Arabidopsis thaliana: one gene and its partners. The protein of the gene in region 2 purifies or fractionates together with the protein of the main gene of each other region. This does not show direct contact. Each region holds a gene or a part of one and is shown on either strand. Other genes may lie near its edges.

The links. The genes of interacting proteins can lie anywhere in the genome.
Region 1: the proteins of PGDH (region 2) and Hop2 fractionate together in Arabidopsis thaliana (co-fractionation; one large-scale study listed by BioGRID). This does not show direct contact.
Region 3: the proteins of PGDH (region 2) and Hop3 fractionate together in Arabidopsis thaliana (co-fractionation; one large-scale study listed by BioGRID). This does not show direct contact.

What each region holds. Positions count from the first base shown.
Region 1 is NC_003070.9:23,228,195-23,235,360, reverse strand, and holds Hop2 (stress-inducible protein), read right to left. Parts: upstream 4,440-7,166; 5' UTR 4,336-4,439; coding exon 3,460-4,335; intron 3,362-3,459; coding exon 3,073-3,361; intron 2,981-3,072; coding exon 2,895-2,980; intron 2,793-2,894; coding exon 2,569-2,792; intron 2,472-2,568; coding exon 2,405-2,471; intron 2,303-2,404; coding exon 2,243-2,302; intron 2,095-2,242; coding exon 1,981-2,094; 3' UTR 1,818-1,980; downstream 1-1,817. Other genes in the region: SCO1 (Translation elongation factor EFG/EF2 protein), read left to right, coding at 1-899, 971-1,483, 1,572-1,739; AT1G62730 (Terpenoid synthases superfamily protein), read left to right, coding at 5,243-6,157; NG1 (Pentatricopeptide repeat (PPR-like) superfamily protein), read right to left, coding at 6,330-7,166. UniProt on the Arabidopsis thaliana protein: Mediates the association of the molecular chaperones HSP70 and HSP90. Mediates nuclear encoded chloroplast preproteins binding to HSP90 prior to chloroplastic sorting.
Region 2 is NC_003070.9:6,099,204-6,108,189, forward strand, and holds PGDH (D-3-phosphoglycerate dehydrogenase), read left to right. Parts: upstream 1-1,811; 5' UTR 1,812-1,953; coding exon 1,954-2,576; coding exon of another isoform or gene 2,577-2,592; exon of another isoform or gene 2,593-2,780; intron 2,781-3,872; exon of another isoform or gene 3,873-4,127; coding exon 4,128-4,215; exon of another isoform or gene 4,216-4,429; coding exon of another isoform or gene 4,430-4,440; coding exon 4,441-4,917; intron 4,918-5,008; coding exon 5,009-5,776; 3' UTR 5,777-6,038; downstream 6,039-8,986. Other genes in the region: VPS46.1 (vacuolar protein sorting 46.1), read left to right, coding at 7-331, 664-950; AT1G17744 (uncharacterized protein), read right to left, coding at 2,152-2,592; PEPR2 (PEP1 receptor 2), read left to right, coding at 7,453-8,986. UniProt on the Arabidopsis thaliana protein: Involved in the plastidial phosphorylated pathway of serine biosynthesis (PPSB).
Region 3 is NC_003075.7:7,336,201-7,344,050, forward strand, and holds Hop3 (stress-inducible protein), read right to left. Parts: upstream 5,162-7,850; 5' UTR 5,040-5,161; coding exon 4,203-5,039; intron 3,746-4,202; coding exon 3,457-3,745; intron 3,368-3,456; coding exon 3,058-3,367; intron 2,981-3,057; coding exon 2,854-2,980; coding exon of another isoform or gene 2,824-2,853; exon of another isoform or gene 2,780-2,823; coding exon 2,666-2,779; 3' UTR 1,818-2,665; downstream 1-1,817. Other genes in the region: PME1 (pectin methylesterase inhibitor 1), read left to right, coding at 353-973; AT4G12410 (SAUR-like auxin-responsive protein family), read right to left, coding at 6,756-7,229. UniProt on the Arabidopsis thaliana protein: Mediates the association of the molecular chaperones HSP70 and HSP90. Mediates nuclear encoded chloroplast preproteins binding to HSP90 prior to chloroplastic sorting. Involved in acclimation to heat.

The sequences.
Region 1 (7,166 bases), about 17 Mb from region 2:
TTAAAGGTGTTGTTGATCTTGTGAGGATGAAAGCTATAGTTTGGTCAGGAGAAGAGCTTGGTGCAAAGTTCAGTTACGAGGATATTCCAGAAGATCTTGAAGATTTGGCTCAAGAGTATCGGGCGGCGATGATGGAATTGATTGTTGATTTGGATGATGAGGTCATGGAGAACTATTTAGAAGGAGTTGAGCCTGACGAGGCCACGGTAAAGAGATTGGTTAGAAAAGGAACCATCACGGGCAAGTTTGTGCCAATTCTATGTGGTTCAGCCTTTAAGAACAAAGGAGTGCAGCCATTGCTCGACGCTGTGGTCGATTATCTGCCTTCGCCCGTTGAAGTCCCGCCGATGAATGGAACAGATCCTGAGAACCCGGAAATTACCATTATACGGAAACCAGATGATGACGAGCCATTTGCTGGGCTAGCATTCAAGATCATGAGTGATCCTTTTGTGGGTTCTCTTACATTTGTGAGGGTTTACTCAGGGAAAATCTCAGCTGGTTCTTACGTGTTGAATGCTAACAAAGGAAAGAAGGAGAGAATCGGAAGACTCTTGGAAATGCACGCAAACAGCAGAGAAGATGTTAAAGTGGCTTTGACAGGTGACATTATCGCTCTTGCGGGTCTCAAAGATACAATCACTGGTGAAACCTTGAGTGATCCAGAAAACCCCGTTGTTCTTGAACGAATGGACTTCCCTGATCCCGTCATCAAGGTAGCGATTGAGCCAAAAACAAAAGCAGACATCGACAAAATGGCGACAGGGTTGATCAAGCTCGCTCAAGAAGACCCGTCTTTCCATTTTTCTCGTGATGAAGAGATGAACCAAACCGTCATTGAAGGAATGGGAGAACTTCATCTCGAGATTATCGTTGACAGACTTAAAAGAGAGTTCAAGGTAAAACATAACCTATAAATCTAATTCTCTACTTCAAGCTTCCAAGCTTCTAATTCCTTTTCATCTTTCAGGTGGAGGCTAACGTTGGTGCACCGCAAGTCAACTACCGTGAGAGTATCTCCAAAATAGCTGAAGTGAAATACACACACAAGAAGCAATCAGGTGGACAAGGTCAGTTTGCTGATATTACAGTCCGGTTTGAGCCATTGGAAGCAGGGTCAGGATACGAATTCAAGAGTGAGATCAAAGGAGGAGCTGTGCCAAGAGAGTATATTCCTGGTGTCATGAAAGGACTTGAGGAGTGTATGAGCACCGGTGTGCTTGCTGGTTTCCCGGTTGTTGATGTCCGTGCTTGTCTAGTTGACGGATCTTACCATGACGTAGACTCAAGCGTGCTAGCTTTCCAGCTTGCTGCAAGAGGAGCTTTCCGTGAAGGGATGAGGAAAGCGGGTCCGAGAATGCTTGAACCTATCATGAGAGTTGAAGTTGTTACACCAGAAGAACATCTTGGTGATGTCATTGGTGATCTTAACTCACGAAGAGGTCAAATTAACAGCTTCGGAGACAAACCCGGTGGTCTCAAGGTATGTTTTATTCAAAATGATCGAAAAAACCCCTAAATTGTTAGATGATGAAATCTGATTTTGACATTGTTGTTCTTATTATTGTTAGGTGGTCGACTCTCTGGTTCCATTGGCAGAGATGTTTCAGTACGTGAGTACATTGAGAGGGATGACAAAAGGTCGAGCTTCTTACACAATGCAACTGGCTAAGTTCGACGTTGTTCCTCAACATATTCAGAACCAACTTTCATCCAAGGATCAAGAAGTTGCTGCTTAAACAGATTTTGTTTTGCCTAGACATAAAAACTTATTGTGATTTTGTTTGGTCTATATAGACATGTAAGCTAATCAAATTTGTGAAGACAAGGTTGTTATTGTCTTAAAACGCATGGATATGAGAAAGAAAGAAAAATTGATATATCAGAAAAGTCTGAAAAATGAGAAGAATTCGATCTTAGTGTTTGGAGTTATAAAAGAGTAATGACTCAGCAAAATCGAAATCAATGTCTTGGCTTCGTTTATTTCATCTGGACGATTCCTGAGCTGATAAGCTTTTGGATTTTGTTCATGATCATTGGGTTCTGCATGTGCTTTTGTGCTGCTGCTGGATTCTCCTGGAGATCAGACAGTACCTGTCCAAAGAACAAGTGTTAGATTTTGGTGAGACATATCAACATGGAGATAGCTCAATTTCAGTTTCCAGGATTGCTCCGAGATGTTTGATCTAAACATAGAGAGATTTGTGAATTCTAACATCATCTATAGAAGTGTGTTCTTTACCTGTCTCATTACAGGATCTGTGAGAATGTTCTGAATTTCTGGGTCTTGCATTCCCTTAGCCTGCAATAAGGACGAAAGCAAATCCCAAAAGTTTTAGTTTAAGATCACAGGTTTCTCTTAAACCCGTAACAAAGCAGTTTCAAAGCAGTAATAGAATCTAACCTGTCTTTCTTTCAATTCCTCAGGAGTAAGGTCGCCACGGTTTGCCTTGTTTATCTGTTGTACACATCTGCATGGTTTAAAACATGTTACATAAGCATATTGACATTACTAGATAACAGAAGCGAATAATCTCCCCGTGACTTAACACCTATTTATATAAATACCTTTTAACACCATCAAGAAGTTCCTGGTTATTAGGATCATGTTCGAGACCCTTCTGGTACGTTTCCATTGCATTGTCATACTCCTTCATGAAGAACTGGACTGCACCTTTTCTACTGTATCCCTTTAAGAATGTTGGATCGAGCTCGATACATTTCTCTGCATCTTTTAATCCTTCGGGCATTGCCCCCAGTTTAGTGTAACATGCAGCCCGGTTGCTATATGCCTATGTGACGAGCAAAAAAGTAAACAAGTTATTAAAACAGTCAAATACGGAACTCTTTTTGAGCACAACATTGAAGGATATATGATGATGAATCCGCCTTACTCTCGGGTCTTTTGGATTCCTCTTGATCGCTTCAGTGTAATGTCTCACAGCATCAGGATACTTTTGCTCCTTAAAAAAGTCATTACCTGTGTTACAAAGATGTTAGTTCAGCTACATTTACTGAATTCTAAGAGATTCTTCCTCGCACAAACAGCACATACAATTGCAAAGTATATACCTTTCTCACGCTCCTCATCACCGATATTAGGATCATAGTACTCTTGCTGCTCCAACTCTTTCTTTGCTCTCTCTGCCTCATTCAGTCTCTTCAATGTTTCAGGGTTACGATGCTCCGTAAGAGCTTTCTGGTAAGTCTGAATCACAGGTTCATAGTCTTTCGAGACTTTAGCCATCTTCCCTAAAGCAGTTCCTTTCCTAGTCAAAGCTTTAGCCACCATCTTGTAATCAGACCTAAGCTCTCTACCCCTTTCAACAGCCTTATCACAATCCTTGATACACTCATCATACTAAAACAAAACACATAGACATTAAGACTCATAACCTAACCAAAGCAAATCACTTTAGACTAGCACACAAAAAAAAAAGAACACTTTGAAAACTATACCTTTCCCATCTCTAGATGAACAGCAGCACGATTAGTGATATAAGAGATATCTTCATCATCAATCTCCATAGCTGTAGAGTAATGCTGGATTGCAGTTTCGAAGTCCTTCTTCTTATACGCAGCATTCCCCAACTCTTTCTCCTTCTGAGCTTTAAGCTTCTTCTGCTTCTCTTCTCCAAACTCCGGCTCAGGCTCAGGCTCAGGCTCAGGTTTTCGTTTCTTCTCTACCTCAGGCTCCTTCCTAGAAGGCACAGCCATCTCTTCCTCACCAATCTCCATATCATCACCAGCCTGTTGAGTCCTGATTTGAATATTCAACAAAACTCCAAGAGCTTGCATAACTCTCTGATCTTGCAAATAAAGATTAAGATTACTAGGGTTCCTCTGAATCTCCTTCATCATATTAACAAAATCAGGCTGTTTCAATAACCCTCTAGTAGAAGGATCCGCCGTCAATTTCGACCACATCTCCGGTCCCTGAAAAGCATCACCAAACGGATTGGGCGCGGAAGCGCGTGACCTAGACGCAGAAGCTTTCGCATCAGCTAAACCTGATTTCAAACCTTCGTTACTTGGATCAATCTCAAGCCCTTTCGAATACGCCTCCACGGCTTCATCGAACTGATTTAGACCTAAGTGAGCAGCACCGAGACGGCTATAACCTTTTCCCCAATCTGGTTTAAGTTCAACAGTCTTCTTCGCGTCTGAGAGAGCTTCGTCGTAGTGATTAAGCGATGCGTGAGCAGCGGAACGGTTTGAGAAGAGAACGTGATTGGTTGGTGTTAGGTTGATTGCGTCGGTGAAGTGATTAACGGCGGAATTGAAGTCACCGGAGGAGAAAGCTGCGTTTCCTTTAGCTTTTGCTTCGTCCGCCATAGTTGAATCTGAAAATTTTCTCTTGCAGGTCTTCTCGTTGCTTCTGGAAGATACCTTGAGGGGCTAATGGGTTTTTGGCTTTAGGCGAATAAATACGAGTGTATATATATTTGTTCGATATAAGAGTGTTTGGTTTCGGGTTAATACTATCCTAATCACGTTTATTCATTAAACAGTTCTTTACATAAAAACGTCGTCGTGTCATTTTATAACAAAACCGACTTCCTGTTACACTGTAGCAGAACCGACGTCGTGTAATAACATTAGTGGTTTTATATTAATCGACGACGTATTTCTCTACATTGACCCAACGCTTCTTCTCCGGCACGATTGTTCAGAGTTCGATTTCCATTTTCGGGTCGAAAGGTTGATTTTATTTGGATTTTGGATGGTAGATTCAGTTCCTAAACATAGGAAACTTGAATCTCAGAGTTTTTCGAGTTAGGGTAAGGTGTTTTTTGCTCGTTTCGTTATTGTTGGACGACATTAATGGTTTCCAGCGATTTTACATTACTAATTGGAAAGTTTCTGTGAACTTTAGTGATCTCATTTGTTATCCATGTGTGATTATTGGGTTTATGATTGTGTGTTAAGCAATGTTGAAAAGTTCTCATTTTGTTTGTTAAATACCAATTCCAGTGCTTTGTCCACCAAGTGTTTGTGTTAATTCCTGAATGAGTTTAACGGTTCACAAAACCTCTGGATTAGTGAGAATTATTCAGTATATTTATTTGAAGTGGTGATAATTGGAGGATTTTCTCTTGTGTTTGTAGATGAATTCTGTGTTACTGTTTTATAATGGAGTGATAGAAGAAACCAGAGTTTTTCATTGTTTTTATGAACTGATCTTGTTTGTGGTTTATATGGTTGTAGGATAAGAGAAAGAAACACAGTTGGAGTTATACTGATGAATGGAGGAGGCTCGAGTAGTTTGCGTTCAGCATTGTCCTATTGTGTGCAGCAAGTACGAAACTATGACTATCATCACTACCTCTGTCTCCTTGAACTCCCAACTGAGATGCGTAAAGCAGCATTTGCTCTCCGGGCTTTTAATGTAGAAACCGCAAGAGCCATGGATGTTGCATCTGATCCCAAAATCGGCTTGATGCGGTTACTTTGGTGGCAAGAAGCAATTGACAAACTCTACACCAAAAAGCCCATAAACCATCCAGCTGCACAAGCTCTGTCTTGGGCAATATCAGAACATAACATCAGTAAACCTTGGCTAAAACGCTCAGTTGACGCTAGAATCCGAGATGCCCAAAGAGAAGTAGACGATATACCAGAGAGCATTGCGGAGCTAGAGAAATACGCAGAAGACACAGTTTCCACTCTTCTGTACAATACACTCCAAGCAGGCGGAATTAGTTCAACAACAGCTGATCATGCAGCTTCACACATTGGTAAAGCCAGTGGTCTTGTCTTGCTGCTTAAATCATTACCGTACCACTGTACCAGAAACCGTCACCAGAGTTACATCCCTGCAGATCTCGCTGAGAAGCACGGGTTGCTCGTGAAACAAGGTGGACGATTAGAAATTCTTCTGGATAACGATTCAAGAGAAGGACTAAGCAATGTCGTGTTTGAGATTGCATCTGTTGCCAATGCACATCTCCTGAAAGCCCGTGAACTGGCGGGAAAGGTTCCTGCAGAAGCTAAACCGGTACTGCTTCATTCTGTGCCGGTACAAGTTCTTCTGGATTCGTTAAATAAAGTACAATTCGATGTGTTTGATCCCAGGATTCAAAGAGGAGTTCTTGGTGTTCCTCCACTCTTGTTTCAGTTTAAACTCAAGTGGTATTCATGGAGAGCAATGTTTTGAAAACTTGTCTTTATCTCCCTTTTCTTGCCTCTTTTATTTCTGGTTTCAAAGACTTTACATTAAACTCCAGCTTACTTGTATTTCTTTTGTAATAATACAAAATTACAAATGGTGATGAATACAAAATAAAGAATTTGTTTTTTACTTACAAATAATATACAGTTTTCATATGTTATAATGGAAGAAGCCCATCTTCTTGCATTTTTCTGTACAACAAATCTGATTTATCCCATTGGCGTTTCCTACAAAAGCCTGAGATCATCGTAGTGTAGGACACAACATCAGGCTTAAGTCCTTTGCAAGAAAGGCTACGAAACAAGTCCCACGCATCTTCAACATTACCAATCTTGCACATCCCGTGAATGACGATATTATAAGTAGTAATATCAAGTTCTATTTCACTCTTTTGCATATTCTCGAATAACACCAATGCTTTCTCTACCCTCCAGTTCATACAAAGCCCATACAACAAAATGCTGTACGTCCTAATATTGGGACGAGAATCCATCCGACTGAAAATTTCTTGCGCCGCATCTGGTCTACCCGCTTGAAAATAGCCCTGGATTATAGTGTTGTATGTGATAGTGTCACCAACTAATCCTCTTTGAGCCATCTCGCGGAAGAGTTTCGTTCCTTCATCAACCCTCTTAGACTTGCAAAACCCGTTAATGAGAGTATTATAAGTCACTACATCGGGGAGACAACCCTTAGTTACCATCAAATCAAGCATTTGTTTGGCCTCATCTACCCGACCGTGCATACAAAGACCGTTGATCAACGAATTGTAAGTGAAAACATCCGGATCTACACACCTTCGTGTCATCTCCTCGTACAACTTCATCGCCTCCGAAAACTTCCCTTCTTTCACAAACACATCGATCACCGCAGTGAAAGTAATGACATTAGGAACAATATCCCTCATTACCATATCTCTCATTAGCCGAGCTGCATCACTCCATCTACCAGAACAACAAAGACCGGCCACAAGAGAGTTATAAGTAACAGCATC
Region 2 (8,986 bases):
GAGGAGATGGGTAATACAGATAAGCTGATGAACCAGATCTTTGAATTGAAATTTACGTCAAAGTCTCTGCAGAGGCAAGCTAGGAAGTGCGAAAAAGAGGAGAGATCGGAGAAGCTCAAGGTAAAGAAAGCCATTGAGAAAGGTAACATGGATGGTGCTCGGATCTATGCCGAGAACGCCATTCGCAAACGCAGCGAGCAGATGAACTACCTTCGTCTCTCTTCTCGATTGGACGCTGTTGTTGCTCGACTCGATACCCAGGCTAAGATGGCTACCATCACCAAATCGATGACCAACATTGTCAAATCCCTCGAATCGTCTCTTACCACTGGTATTTCACATTCTCACTTTTCAGCAATCTAATCAATTTGGTTTTGTTGGTGCTCATAGCATTATAGTATAGATTGAAAAATTCTGCTCCTTGTTGTTGTTTTTGCTGATTGAAGGATATGGAATCATGCATTAGGGTTTGGTTTGATGAAATATTAGAATAGCTCTCTCTCACCGTCATGGATGTTCTGTGATCTGTGATGAATTTTTGTTGCATTTCTCTCCTTTTGGTAAGTGTAGTATAGAGGGAGAAGAAGATAGGGCTTATAATACTCTTATACGTTGTGCTGTAGCAACTCGTGTTATCATTTTCTGGTTTGTTCTTTGCAACAGGCAACTTACAGAAGATGTCTGAGACGATGGATTCGTTTGAGAAACAGTTTGTGAACATGGAAGTCCAAGCTGAGTTCATGGATAATGCAATGGCTGGCTCTACTTCATTGTCGACTCCAGAAGGAGAAGTCAACAGCTTGATGCAGCAAGTAGCAGATGATTACGGTCTTGAAGTTTCTGTTGGACTACCTCAGCCTGCTGGTCATGCCATTCCTACCAAGACTGAAGAGAAAGTTGAGGAGGATGATTTAACCAGGAGACTTGCCGAGCTTAAAGCCAGAGGTTAATTAGCTAACCTAACAAAAAAAAAAACTGTATTTGGATTCTTCTTTTATTGAGATGTTGATGCTATTAATCCCTGAACATGATGGGAATGTTTGTGTAAATTGCTCACCCTGGTACATGCTTTTGTTTATATAAAACCTAGAGTGTGTTTTTACAATGAGAAATTTCATCATCTGCTTAATGGTTTGGATTAGTTGTACAAATGTTAATTCTCCAGATGTGTCTCTGGTAGTAGTTCCACCAAATTTTCCAGGTCCAGAAAGGAATACACTGGAGTAAAAGGTATATTCTTTCCAAGGAGAAGAATGTTTATAGTACTCTTGGTGGATTGTTGCAGTTGTCAACTTGGGAGAGAGGATGATATGGTGAAGTCTCCTCCCTCTCTCCCATGTCTTGTTCATTGCAAAGTCTTGTTCTTTCATGTTTCTTTTCATATACACTTGTTAATGAATAAAGTTGAAAAAATTCGTGAGGAAAAGTCCGAATCTATCTTCTCTGCAAAAATAAAATTAAGTAAAAGAAACATAAAGTTATGGTTTAAAGATGCTTTCGGAAACTCCATCATTTTAGTGGGAGAATCACATAAAAGATTGGTCGTCAATTATTTTTCTTTTATTAATAAGGATGCACATGATGATGAATATTAACCGTAATATACTAATATAGATGACAATGTATTTCAGTGCTAAATTATAGTAACAATTAATTGAATGCTTAAATGAATCTTTTATTATATACTACTTTATATGTGTTTTTTTTGTTTTAATTGAGACAATGATGATGCACCTAGACAAGAACGTCCTACTCTCTGTGCATGTGCTTCTCATTTTATTTACTCTTTTACCAAACAAACTGTTCAACTTAATACATAATGTTGGTAGCCCACAATGTGAAAGATTAAATTAAAACTCATCCATTACCTCCTGTAAGCTCTATATTAACCACTTTAGCTCTTCTGCACACACTCACAACAACCAATCATATTTATTATTAAAAAAAAGAGTCATGGCATTTTCATCTTCGTGTTCGTCCGTCAAAGCCGTCAACTCACGGTGGACGTCTCCGTCTCCGTCACCGTCTTCTAGATTCGCCGTCCTCCCTGCTTTCCTTCACCGCCGTTACGCAACAAGCGTCAAACTAACGGCCATAAGCGCCGCCTTAAAAACCGTCGAGCAAACGACGTTAACAGAGGATAACAGATTCTCAACCGTCGGATCTGACTCTGATGAATACAATCCAACTCTTCCAAAGCCGAGGATCCTCGTCACCGAGAAACTGGGAGAAGCCGGCGTGAATCTCCTCAGGGAATTCGGCGACGTTGACTGCTCTTACGATCTTTCGCCGGAAGATCTGAAGAAGAAAGTGGCGGAGAGTGACGCTCTGATCGTGAGAAGCGGAACTAAAGTGACGAGGGAAGTGTTTGAGGCGGCGAAGGGGAGGTTGAAAGTGGTCGGAAGAGCCGGAGTTGGGATTGACAATGTTGATCTGCAGGCGGCGACGGAGCACGGGTGTTTGGTGGTTAATGCTCCAACGGCTAATACGGTGGCTGCTGCCGAACATGGAATTGCTTTGCTTGCTTCTATGGCACGTAACGTTGCTCAGGCCGACGCTTCTATTAAAGCCGGTACGTTCCCGGTTAGCCATTTTTTTTTTGTTTTATTGAAATGAGACATTTAACCAATTAACCTATCTAGATTAACTTAAAGCTTATACTATGTTTCACACCATGGAAAAGAAAAAACTAATCTAACATGTTTTAGTCTCGCAAAGATTACGAGATCTGATGAAGTCCAAATTATCTTGATTACAAAAAAGAAGAATTGATTATCATTGATTAATCGATAGATATTGAATATTTCGTTTTGTTCATATATTGAGAAGAGTTAATGGTCCATTTGAATAATTCCAGTATAGTGGCGTTACTCGTAAGTGTTTCTTCGTAATAATTGCTCAGTTGATCTTTGGAGTTATGCATTATAGCATAGAAGTGGCAATTTGTCATTGGATAGTAGAAAAGTCATGATTAGAAGCAAAAATAAAATTGGTTTACGTAAGTAGAACAAAAGGGGAAAATCATATTTGATCCTCTCCCTGTAAGATGGAAAAAACAAACGAACCTGTCAAATGTAAAATAATGGGTCCATTTACTGCAAAAAGTAAAAGTCGGGGCCCTGAATTTTGGGGCCGCCAGTAACCTCATTTTACTTTTCTCCGAGTCTCTCACCAACCACAGTACAGAAATTAAATTATTGGAGTCTCTTTGTCTATTATTGCAAACTTCTTGTTTTGTTTTGTATCAATCAACTAAGATTTAATCCGCTGTTTACCGCAGACAATCGGTTTATTTGATTTTTATATTAAATATTTGAATAAATTTGATATTTACATTTTATAAATATAAATTTTTGAATCAAACATTACTAAATTATAATTGGAGGAATATATTAAAATGTGTTTAAAATGTGTATTAATTAGTTATGTATATGTAATTTTAGTAAAAGTAAAGTATTTACAAAAATATAAGATTCACAAAATTATTCATAAAATCTGTTTTTTTAGCCGGTTTAGATATCAATTTATAACTACAATACTAATTTTGATTGTAGGTTTAGATTGAATCGAATCATATAAAGTTTAGGAGATTGTTAAGACCATATTACCTTTAATGATTTTGAACAACAAAAAACAAAATCCAAAATTAAAATCAAAATTGTAACTAATTAGACAAAATTTCAATTTGTACTTTCCAAAAAAGGACAAAAAAAGGGATTGAATCATCTTATTTGGAATTTATTACAAACCCATGCATCGGTAACTGAAGAAATAATTCGATTACCTGATATATTCTCTCTTTAAAGTTTCAATCTCACGCGTCACAACCCATCAGTTCCACCCATTTTGGAATTTGTTTTTTTTTTTTTTTTCCATTTTGGAATTTTGTCATGGCAAATATCATTTTCTCGAGTCTTTGTTGTCTTTTTTTCTTTTTAAAAACTTTATATTCGTTAATAGTTTATTACAATTTTTAAATTACCTTAATTATTGATTCGGCGTATATAGTGCAACTTGATTAGCAGAAGAATATGGGATTCTTTTTACAATATACAAATTTGTAGATATTTTAGTACACAATATACAAGTGGGTCATTAAAAAATAATCATGCATCATAATTGATAAGACTCAATTATTTGTTTCTGGTACTACTGTTAAGGTGGAATTGTCGTCAGTCAAAGCATCAATATACGATCGAGACAGAAACTGAGAAAGTGTAGACATTACAATACCATTATCTCTTCTAAGTCTTAATCACTTTCACTTAAAAATCACTTTTGTAAAATTTGAGTTATTCTTCTTCTTCTGTAATCTAGTAAAAAAAAAAATTCTAAAAAATAAAATCAATTTGAGTTGAACTGAGATGACTCCTCCATCAAGTAATACCGAGGCGGTTTCTGAAATTTGGACATTTGGATATTTTTACAGGAAAATGGGAGAGGAGCAAGTACGTCGGTGTATCTCTCGTCGGAAAAACCTTGGCCGTGATGGGTTTCGGGAAAGTTGGGACGGAGGTGGCGAGAAGAGCCAAAGGTCTAGGCATGACCGTTATCTCCCACGACCCTTACGCGCCAGCTGACAGAGCCAGAGCTCTCGGTGTCGATCTTGTTTCATTCGATCAAGCTATCTCCACCGCCGATTTCGTCTCCCTGCACATGCCTTTAACTCCGGCCACCAAAAAGGTCTTCAACGACGAAACTTTCTCTAAGATGAAGAAAGGTGTGCGTCTCATTAATGTCGCTAGAGGTGGCGTCATCGACGAGGATGCACTCGTTAGAGCTCTCGATGCCGGAATCGTTGCTCAGGCAGCATTAGATGTGTTCTGTGAGGAACCACCATCGAAAGATAGCAGACTAATTCAGCATGAAAATGTTACTGTGACACCTCATCTTGGAGCTAGCACAAAAGAAGCTCAGGTATCATCACTCTCTTGATCTTGTTTATGTTACTTGTTTCATCTCTCTACACTTCTTTTCGAGTTTATATAATTCCAATGTGATATTTTAGGAAGGTGTAGCCATTGAGATAGCAGAGGCTGTAGCAGGGGCATTGAAAGGAGAGTTATCAGCTACTGCCGTCAATGCTCCAATGGTGGCTCCTGAGGTCTTGTCTGAGTTGACTCCTTATATTGTCTTAGCTGAGAAGCTTGGGAGGTTAGCTGTGCAGTTAGCATCTGGAGGTAAAGGAGTACAGTCCATTAGGGTGGTCTATCGGTCAGCTCGTGACCGAGATGATTTGGATACTAGACTACTTCGTGCAATGATCACAAAGGGAATCATTGAACCGATCTCAGATTCATATGTCAACTTGGTGAATGCTGATTTCATAGCTAAACAAAAGGGTCTTCGTATTAGTGAGGAACGAATGGTTGTTGATTCATCACCAGAGTACCCTGTTGATTCCATCCAAGTTCAGATTTTGAATGTGGAGTCAAATTTCGCTGGTGCTGTCTCTGATGCTGGTGATATAAGTATTGAAGGGAAGGTGAAGTACGGAGTTCCGCATTTAACTTGTGTCGGATCATTTGGTGTGGATGTGAGCCTTGAAGGGAATCTGATACTGTGCAGGCAAGTGGATCAACCAGGGATGATTGGACAGGTTGGTAACATACTTGGAGAACAAAACGTGAATGTGAATTTCATGAGTGTTGGAAGAACAGTGTTGAGGAAACAAGCGATAATGGCGATTGGAGTTGATGAAGAACCAGACAACAAAACACTTGAGAGGATTGGGGGTGTTTCTGCGATTGAAGAGTTTGTGTTTCTTAAACTATAAAGTTTGAGATGGAGTTGCATTGTGGTGTATGGAGAATAAAACTGTGACCCGGATTAAGGTGTTTTATCCAGTGGTTGTTAAGCTGTAGAGAATCTGTGGTGTTGCGAGCGAGTGTGTGTATCTTGGTATTATTACATTGTTCTTGTTTTGCTTTCTTATGGTATGTAATGCCTTTGGTTAATGTCATGTTTCTCTTGTAAAATGCTTTTGCTTATATTTTACGATGAACCGTTGGACTTGAAAACAAAATTCCTCCATCACTACTCAATGGATTCGCATTTGGGTCTTTGGGGGTTTTAGTCTTAGGATGTAGGTGGCCTTGTGATCTTGTGACAAAATGCAATCTGCAAACCTCATTGGAATCTAATGTGAAAACCCTTTGAAGTTAAATTCAAATTTCAACATCATGTAAAGGAAATATACCAAAGAAGTGGAACATATATAAAACTTAAAGAAAAGTGATAGAAGACAGAACAAGGACCACCACTCTCTAAATCCTTATGGTGAAAATCACATTTTCTTTGTCAACTATGAAAATTTATGAACTACAGTATAATTATAGGGTTTGGTGATGGAGACATATATAGAAGTTGTTATTAAATTCGTTTGGGACCTGCAAAAGTGACGACCAACCAACTTAAAATCGAAATGGACAGTATGATATTTCCAAAATAAACGTGTTAAAATGTTACAAACGAATATTGTATACATTAAAGAAAGTATGATTCTTCGTTGGGACTTTTTTGACTTCTCAATACCATGAGACGACCAAACCAAATTGAATTCAGTTAAGGAATTAGATAGATTATAATATGTAATGGTGCACGTCGAATGATTGAGTTATGTTGGTGGAATGAATATAGAATATCAATTTAAAGATGATCATTGAGTCTAATTAAGTTGAGAATGCGTGTTATCTTATTTTAGTAAGAGTAATAGCATCCTCCCAAAATGATGACATTTTGTAATAATGAGAGAAATAAACATAATAATTCCATAAAAGAGAGATATACAAGTGGTTTAAGACTTTTAAATAGACTGATGAGTGCTCCACTATCTTAATATTGTTAACAGGGAAGATCAAAATTAATCTCTCAATCAGTTTTGACATTATGTTTTTAATAAACCATTTTTGTTTTATGTGAATATGGTTTTGTTAATAAAGTACTAGTTAAAATTCTAGTGTAGACGACAGATACCAGAGATCTTGATTAAATTCCAATATATAATGTTTATGAAAGATTTAAATCTAACAAAGTAACAGTAGGATGAAATGTCAATAGAAAATTAGCGTCCAAAGAAGCTTTCTCTTGAATAAGCTAAGAAAACAAAACGTGGAAAATGGAATATTTAAAACCACGAAACAGTCTCCGAGTAGTAATGGAAATAGCGAGAAAGAAACACGAAACAGCGTTGAAGGTCGCCAATTCGTAAAGTTAGGTTCACAATCTCTGACGAAGAGTTAACCAAAAAGCGCGCTCTTTTTCTCTCTCACCAAACTCATCGATCGTTTCTTAAATAATGCAATCTGTTCCTGTCACTAAATCCAGATACCCTTTCAAATCCAAAAGCTCTCTCTTTTTTTTTTCCGCCTCTCATTCTGGGTTCAAGGGTTGTTGAGTGAGGTTACTACGTACGAGTGTTTCATATTTCAGTCTCTTGAGCTCTAATCTCAAATGAGGAATCTTGGGTTACTCGAAATTACTCTGCTTTGCTCTCTCTTTGTCTATTTCCGTATAGATTCTGTCTCTAGTTTAAACTCAGATGGTTTGGCTTTACTCTCGCTTCTCAAGCACTTTGATAAAGTCCCACTTGAAGTAGCTTCGACGTGGAAGGAGAACACATCTGAAACCACTCCATGTAATAATAACTGGTTTGGTGTCATTTGTGATCTTTCTGGTAATGTCGTCGAGACCCTTAATTTGTCTGCTTCTGGGCTTTCAGGCCAATTAGGTTCTGAAATTGGGGAGCTTAAGAGCTTGGTCACATTGGATCTCAGTCTTAACAGTTTCTCTGGTTTATTGCCTTCCACTTTAGGAAACTGTACTTCACTTGAGTATTTGGATTTGTCTAACAATGATTTTTCTGGAGAAGTTCCTGATATTTTTGGTAGCTTGCAGAATTTGACGTTTCTGTATCTTGATCGCAATAATCTTAGTGGTCTCATTCCTGCAAGTGTTGGTGGGTTGATAGAGCTCGTAGATCTGAGGATGTCATATAATAACTTGTCTGGTACCATTCCAGAGTTGCTTGGGAACTGTAGTAAGCTGGAATATCTGGCTTTGAACAACAACAAGTTAAATGGTTCTTTGCCAGCAAGTCTCTATCTACTCGAGAATCTTGGTGAGCTATTTGTCAGTAACAACAGCCTTGGAGGGAGGCTTCATTTTGGTTCTAGCAACTGCAAGAAATTGGTTTCTTTAGATCTCTCGTTCAATGATTTCCAAGGCGGTGTTCCACCTGAGATAGGCAACTGCAGTAGCCTTCACTCTTTAGTCATGGTGAAATGCAACTTGACAGGTACAATCCCATCATCAATGGGTATGTTGAGAAAGGTTTCGGTTATTGACCTTTCCGATAATCGTCTCTCGGGGAATATCCCTCAAGAGCTTGGGAACTGCAGCAGCTTGGAAACCTTGAAGCTGAACGACAACCAGCTCCAAGGCGAGATACCACCTGCATTGAGTAAGCTAAAGAAGCTACAAAGCCTGGAGCTTTTTTTTAATAAGCTGTCCGGTGAGATTCCTATTGGCATATGGAAGATTCAGAGTCTGACACAGATGCTCGTTTATAACAACACTCTCACCGGGGAACTACCAGTTGAAGTAACTCAGCTGAAGCACCTTAAGAAGCTTACACTGTTTAACAACGGCTTTTATGGAGATATACCAATGAGTTTAGGCCTGAATCGAAGCTTAGAGGAGGTGGACCTTCTTGGTAACCGTTTTACAGGGGAGATACCACCCCATCTCTGCCATGGACAGAAGTTGAGATTGTTCATCTTGGGTTCTAATCAGCTTCATGGTAAGATACCAGCGTCTATTCGTCAGTGTAAGACCCTTGAGCGAGTCAGACTTGAAGATAACAAACTTTCAGGTGTTCTTCCGGAATTCCCTGAGAGTCTTAGTCTTTCCTATGTGAACCTCGGAAGCAATAGCTTTGAAGGATCCATCCCGCGCAGCTTGGGAAGCTGTAAAAATCTCTTGACTA
Region 3 (7,850 bases), on a different chromosome or scaffold from region 2:
ATTTCTATGGTAGAAAGATAAATACTAATCTATGCTATATAATAATACATATATATCCTCTCAAACTTGAACAAGCATATATGGAAGATTATAAACAGTGGTTTCTACTAGGGAATTATTGTTGTATACTTGTATCAGAATTCCAAAGTGTATTGTTTTCTAATCACTAAATGGAAAACCATTTGGAGTTTATTTTTTAATACAGATTGTCTTTTTGTAAACAATATCTATAACAAAAAAAAATACAATAAATGTAGCTCTCCTATAAATAACACCTCACTCGTGTATACACACATATGCCTTTTAATTGAAACGCACCACAAATAGAACAAAGAACCCCACACACACACCAATGGAACCAAAGCTAACCCATCTTTGTTATTGCCTTCTACTTTTTCTTCCACTACTCTGCCAATCCACCATAGCCAAACCTTCATCATCACCAAACCCTAGCAGCAGCATCAACTTCATTGTCTCATCATGCCGCGTCACGCGTTACCAAACTCTCTGCGTCAAATGCCTTGCCGCTTTTGCAGACAAAATCCGCCGCAACGAAAACCAGTTAGCTCAAACCGCTTTAGCCGTTACTCTAGTCCGGGTTCAGTCCACGACAATCTATGTAGGGAAGCTGACTAAAGCTAGGAGAATCAAAAGGAGAGAGTACTTAGCCGTGAAGGATTGTGTTGAAAATCTTGGAGACGGTTTAGAGATGTTGGCTCAGTCGATGAGGGAGTTGAAGCAAGTTGGTCGATCTGGTCGTGATCGAGACGAGTTCTTGTGGAGACTAAGTAACGTTGAGACTTGGGTTAGTGCTGCCTTAACGGATGAGACAACGTGTCTGGATGGGTTCGATGGAAAGGTTATGGACGGTGTGGTAAAATCAGCGATTAGAAGAAGAGTGGTTCATGTGGCTCGAGTTACTAGTAATGCATTGGCTCTTGTAAACCGGTTCGCGGCTAGGCATAAGTCATAGAATATTCGGCTAATAAATTAAAATTCGGTCCTTAATAAGGTTTTGTCATGTATTTTCTTTTTTGTCCTAGTGGGTGATTTGTTTCTTTATGATACTTTGTATTTATGTGTAGGCTTGGGATGTTTATGCTTTTGTCATGGTTTCGACTAGAGATAACGATGATTTTAACGGGTTTATGGAGAAAAAGAATTGGCCACAAAAATTGGATGAGCTCCTACATTTCAATATAGTTACGGTCTCGGATATAAGCAATGGATGGCCACAATAATGTTTACCATTTTTAACCACTCTAATAACCAATGCTGTTTTCTAAAATCAGATGAGTTTCTTACTTCACACATATACACTTTTTCTAAGCATACAAATTATAACCTCTAAGTTGGACAAATCTCCTACTTTCTGCATACCCTTTAGTGTTTTTGTTCCTTTTCACGGAAACCATTAGACCAAGAGCTAGTCACTTTACTATTTGAATAATCTTATGATGACATTCTTTCCACATAAGCTCCATTTACTTTGGTAGTTTGGGAGCAGGTGTGAAAATCTTATCACTAGTCTAAAGTTAAACACTAAGTGCTCTTTTGATTTAATTTAAATAAACCTTCGGATTGTTAGCTTTTGGGAAAGACAAGTCCAAGAAGTAACGGTGAAGAGTGATCATGGAAGCAAATTAGGTACAATTATGGAAATACAAATATTTTTAGGCTGTTTGCCACATGAACAAAACATGCAAGTATATATGAATTATATCCTCTTAAATTACTATTTAACATCTATTAACCCTTTTGCATGGAATGTTTATGAAAAATCTATGCAAATTCTATTGCAAGAAAAAAAAAAAGTACTCTGTAATTTGGTTAACCATCGGTACACCTCCCCTTACGAATTTGTGATTTGTGTAGTGAACCGATTAACCGAATAGTATTTATTAGGAACATGTCATAATTTTGAAAATAATCGTTAATTAACAAAATAAAAAGTTATGGGAAATAGTTTTATGTTCTAAATCAAAATTCAGAAATTATTACTTATGTTTTTTCAGTTAGCAAAGGAAAATTACATATCTTAGATTCTGAAACTTAAATTCTAAAATTAAAACTCCTAAACTTTCATAGATTTTAAAATCTTAAGATCTTTTTGTTTTTGTTTTTTGGGCAAACAAAATCTTAAGATCTAAATCTTAAAATACTTTCCACAAACCGTTCCACTAGAGAAAAATCTATATATATATTTTTTTAAACTATATTTTGTATTAAAGAAAAGTGGAAGAGAAAATTCAACACAATCTGATTATTGCACAATTTCTTAGTCACCATAACGTGTGCAATGCACGTGAGGCCCGTCTAAAAAGACTTTTATTCCTCTGTAAAAGAGACATGTAGAAAACAAAAAAGATTTTACAGCTTTTGACTTTTAAATTATAATTTTCGACCAAAAAAGAATTATAGTTTTTTTTAAAATTTTTTGACAGCAATTATAAATTTCGTTTGAAGATTCTTTTGAGAAAATTCGAAGAAGTAGCATATAAAACTAGGAGAACACAGACTTGATTCATTCTACAACAACTCCTCAAACATGACCCAAACCAAATCAGAGTTTCATCAGTTTAACAAAAGCCCAAAAGAACGCAGTGAAAATTTGGAAACATCTTCGGTTTGATTCAATATACCACTCCGGTTTAGCATAACCAATTTACCGGACCTGAACAATTCCGGCACTAACCAGCTTCTGAATCTTGTTCATTACCATTGGGTTCTTCATATGCTCTTGTGCAGCTTTCGGATTCTCTTGAAAGTCCACTAGTACCTACAATAGACATCATCACACAAGTCTCACAGACAGCTTACGAGTTAGAACACAATGCTTGCCACTGCTTTTACCTGTCTCATCACTGGATCCGATAATATGTTCTGAACTTCAGGATCTTGCATTGCCTTTGCTTGTCTCTCCTTCAATTCTTCTGGAGTCAGATCACCACGGCTCGCTTTGTTTATCTGTTCCACACATCTGAAAACAACAACACTTTCACTAGACCGATCTTTGCAAGGTTAAACAACAAAGAGAGAATGCCAAAATTTGCAAACCTTCTAACACCATCAAGGAACTCCTGGTTCTTAGGATCATGTTTTAGCCCTTCTTGATACGTTTCCATAGCTTTATCGTATTCCTTCATGAAAAATTGAATAGCTCCTTTTCTACTGTATCCTTTCGTGAAACTTGGGTCCAGCTCAATGCATTTTTCAGCATCTTTCAATCCCTCTGGTAATGCTCCTAACTTTGTGTAACAAGCAGCTCTGTTGCTATATGCCCTCACGTCGTTCGGGTTTCTTTTGATTGCTTCTGAATAATGCTTCACTGCCTCTGGATACTTTTGTTCTTTAAAGAATCCATTACCTGCATCAATGAAGAAGTGTCAAATGCTTAATCCTAAAATCAAATCACGTTTCAAGATAGTAAGTGTAACTGAGGATCAGTATATATACCTTTCTCTCGCTCCTCCTCGGCTATCGTAGGATCAAAGTACTCCTGTTGCTCCAGCTCTTTCTTGACTTTCTCAGCATCGTTCAGTTTCTTCAATGTATCTGGATTACGATGCTCTGTAAGAGCTTTCTGGAAAGTCTCAATCGCAGGCTCAAAGTCTTTCGAGCATCTCGCCATTTTCACTAGAGCAGATCCTTTTCTAGTCAGAGCTCTTGCTATCATCTTGAAGTCAGAACGAAGTTCTCTGCCTCTTTCAACAGCCTTGTCACAGTCTTCAATGCACTCCTCGTACTGATAATTTCATTTGAGAAATGAAGTAAAACATCACACAAGATACAGTAAGATCCAGATGAACCAACTGTTAATTAAACAAGACTAATGCAAGAACACATAGACCAATGGAATTGAACCACTCAGGATACTTGAAGATTAATTGATTCCAGTAATAATAAAGATAACCACTTCTACAGAACAAGTGAATAAACTCCATCATGAAGCCATAAACCCTAAATTTCTACCTCATCTAAAGCTAACTACTTTCAGCACAAGTGAAAACTTAAGTTCAAAACTCTTAAATCTCCAACAAGAAGCAGATGAAAGTTATCAAAACCCATCAAGGTCATCACAAATGTACTAACTAGTGACAAGCTATACTAAACAGATAAGCTACTTCAAGAACCCAAGATCTCCTCCTTAATCTTAAAGTACCTAAAGGTTTAACTTTTAAGCCAAGTATAAGACTTAATACCTTCCCCATCTCAAGATAAACAGCAGCACGATTCGTCAAATACGAAATATCCTCATCATCGAGCTCCATGGCCTTAGTATAATGTTCAACAGCTCTCCCAAAATCCTTCTTCTTATAAGCAACATTTCCTTCCCCTTTCTCCTTCAAAGCCTTCTCCTTTCTCTCCTTCTTCTGCCTCTCCTCCTCCGTCAACTCCATAGGTTCCATCTCCGGTTCAGGCTCTTTCCTCTCATCAGCCTCCTTCATCTCAGTATCTTCACCACTAGATCCACCAAACTTCACATTCAACAAAACCCCTAAAGCCTTCATAACTCTCTTATCCTTCATATACAAATTAAGATTATTAGGGTTCCTCTGAATCTCCTTCATCGTCTTAACAAAATCATCCTGCTCCAAATAAACCCTAGTCCCCGGATCCGCCGTCAACTTCTCCCACATCTCCTTCCCTTGAAACGCATCAACAAAAGGATTCGACTTTGACGAAACCCTAGATCTCGAAGCATCAGCTAATCCCGATTTAAGCATCTCATTACTCGGATCAATCTCTAATCCTTTCTTATACGAATCAACCGCTTCATCAAACTTGGACAATCCAATAAACGCAGCACCTAATCGGCTATATCCTTTAGACCAATCAGGTTTAAGCTCTATAGTCTTCTTCGCGTCTGATAAAGCTTCTTCGTAACGGTGGAGAGAAGCGTAAGAAGCGGATCTGTTTGAGTAGAGGATGTGATTGGTTGGTGAAAGGTTGATTGCTTCTGTGAAATGGGTTATTGCGGTGGCGTAATCGCCGGAAGAGAAAGCTGCGTTTCCTTTGGATTTTGCTTCTTCCGCCATTGAATTGGATTTGGTTTAGGTATCGTGAGAATCTGCTTGATTGCATTTTTAAAAACAGAGGAAGATGAAGAAGAAGGCACAAGAGAGTTCTCGAAATTTCGAATTTTTTTGTGTATGTCGAGAATGTTCTTTTGTAGCCGTGGAAAAATGTTTTTAAATCTTAAAAATACAAAAGGAAAAGAAACGCTAGAGAAAGGGGTCGAACCTCTGACCTTGTGGTTAACAGCCACACGCTCTAACCAACTGAGCTACTCCAGCTTTTTGATAAGTGATTCGTTATTTATGTAAATATACCGTCTAGAAAAGAATAAACATCCGTTTATGTTCTGTGCTTACTTTTTTATGCTATGTCTTTGTCTTCTGTCAGAAGATTAAGCGTCAGAAAGACATCGTGGAGTTAGCAACGAGACGATCAAAATTCTTCAATCCGAAGTAGTAGTAAACCAGAGGTGAGAAGACGACCAGTTTGGGAGAGAAAACCAAATCGGAGGTATGTATGGTGATTAAAGTTTTGGTTATGATAAATAATATCATCATAAGCGAATAGTTTTGTACGTTTTTGGTTTAGGTTTTAATCAAATGTGTCTTTACTTTTAATAAGTTTAGGTTTGATATTTGGTTTTTTTGTTTTTTTCTAAACATACCACATATAATCATATATATTAATACTCAAAGAACAAGTAGTACATGGTTTCTCCAAATACTTGTAACCAACCAAAGTGGTAAACTACAATCTAAAAAGCAAAATACAAATCACATGAAGATGCAAATTTAGCAAGTGCATCTCCTCTGCACATTTGTTCTCACCTCATCTTCTAAATTTTAACATATTTGATCACTTTCCTACAATATGATTTGAATTTGTATTCAAATTTGGGAAATTTTGAAAATTACCACCTTTATGATACCATTTTTCAAAAAGACCAGAAAAAGGTTGTTCAAAAATTCTAGTTTCATATCATTTCTTAAGAAAAATCTTCTAAGCACTATAAAACATTAAAAATTTTGTGAAAAATCTTATAAATGTTTGATATTATGCATTATAGAAACTTTATAAACGTTTTTATAATATGCTCTATAAAAGTTAATAAAACAAATTCTATGATTGCATTTTGTGTTACATTGAAAATTAACAAAAAAAAAAAACAGTGGTATTATTAAAAAAAAATAAAAATCATAAAAGTGGTATCTCAAAAATTCTTCTGAAATATATTTAGATAGAAGTAATTTCATAATTAACATTATATGGAAATTCTAAATATTGATTGTTTCACTTCAATTGGGGTTTATAGTGGATGATAGGTTTCAGATACAGCAATACACCATCACTCACTGTATTTGATATATTGAAATATAAGTATTCAAAAATACTGATAGCCCAATTTCAGTTTTTTCTGTTTTTTTTTTTTAATTTCAGTTTTTATGTGTGTAATTTTATAAGTTAGAACATAATTTCAGTTTTGTTCTAACTTATAAAATTACACACATAAATCTAAACCATATAGTATTATAGGATGTCAATGTGGTCTATCATCCATGAAATAAACTGATACAAATAATTATCTTGTATTTATGAATCGGTATTTATCGTATAACATAGATGGTAAAAAAAACTAATATTCACAAATTAAAGGAAATCATCCTTCTCTGTACTGTATAAGTGTATATAAATTTTTTTAATCCTCTTTTGATTTTTGACTATTTTATAAATTCAAATTATATAATCTTGTAAGAATTTTTCCTGCGGCAATGATCCCATGCAGCGATCCTCAACTGGACTTTTTCAAAATCCGAAACCCGACAAGGAATAGTGATCCGACCCGGTTGATCAAACCCATGAACCCGCTCCGCTTGCTCCAACAATTCTCCAAACAATGGATGATTAAAGTAAATCACCGGCACCACAACTCGCCGCGTGTCATCGTCTGATTCGCCGACATGAACCACCAAATGTCCTCGAGGAACAACCCGGTTCGACTTTTTCGGATCCTTACCCAACCGGATCTGATTCTGACCCGGATTCTTCTTGCTTCCACCGCACAATCTCTTAGCTCCACGGCTTAAACACCGTGCTAATGACCGGATTCCGGTAACCGGGTTTGTGATTCGGGTCGGGCATCTGTTTCTTGGTATCCATTTGAAAATTTTGACAAATCTGTGTCCAATTTTGAACCCTCTGACTCTCTTCATGCTTGGTTTTAATCAGATTCCGACAAAAAAAAAAAAAGTCTTTGGTGAAAACAATGAGATGGGTTTGTTTGAAATCGAGTTTCAAGAAATGGGTTTGATTCGAAAGAAATAGATTTGGAGAAAATTTTGGTTTTTGTTTTTTGGTATCTCTCTCTGTGTTTTATGTTATAGAGTTGAAGAAGAAGACTGTTTGGGTATGGGGAAAGAGGTTACCTCTTATATAGCCTTCAAGGAGCTATGACTCTTATGTGTGCGTGTGCTTTTTAAATGTGTCCACTTTGATGGATAGTTTTCCAAATACAACTTTTTTTTTGTATTTTTTGTTATATTTTCGTATCATTTATCATCTTTTCAAAATTTAGGGAACTTTTTTTTTCTATTCAAAACATGCGACTTAAAATTCCAAATCTTAAGTGCCAAAAAAAAAAAAAACCTCAAGATATTTAAAATGAAATATATTACAAGAGATATATTTACAAGACTTGTGTAAACATTAGCTATTTAATTAATTTGGTCAGGGGTGTTACCATAAATTATCGCAATGAAGAAGCTAGCTAAGCTTTGATCATATTCAGTGGGAACGGACTACTTCAACACTTAAGACCTCGAATGTTATTCGTG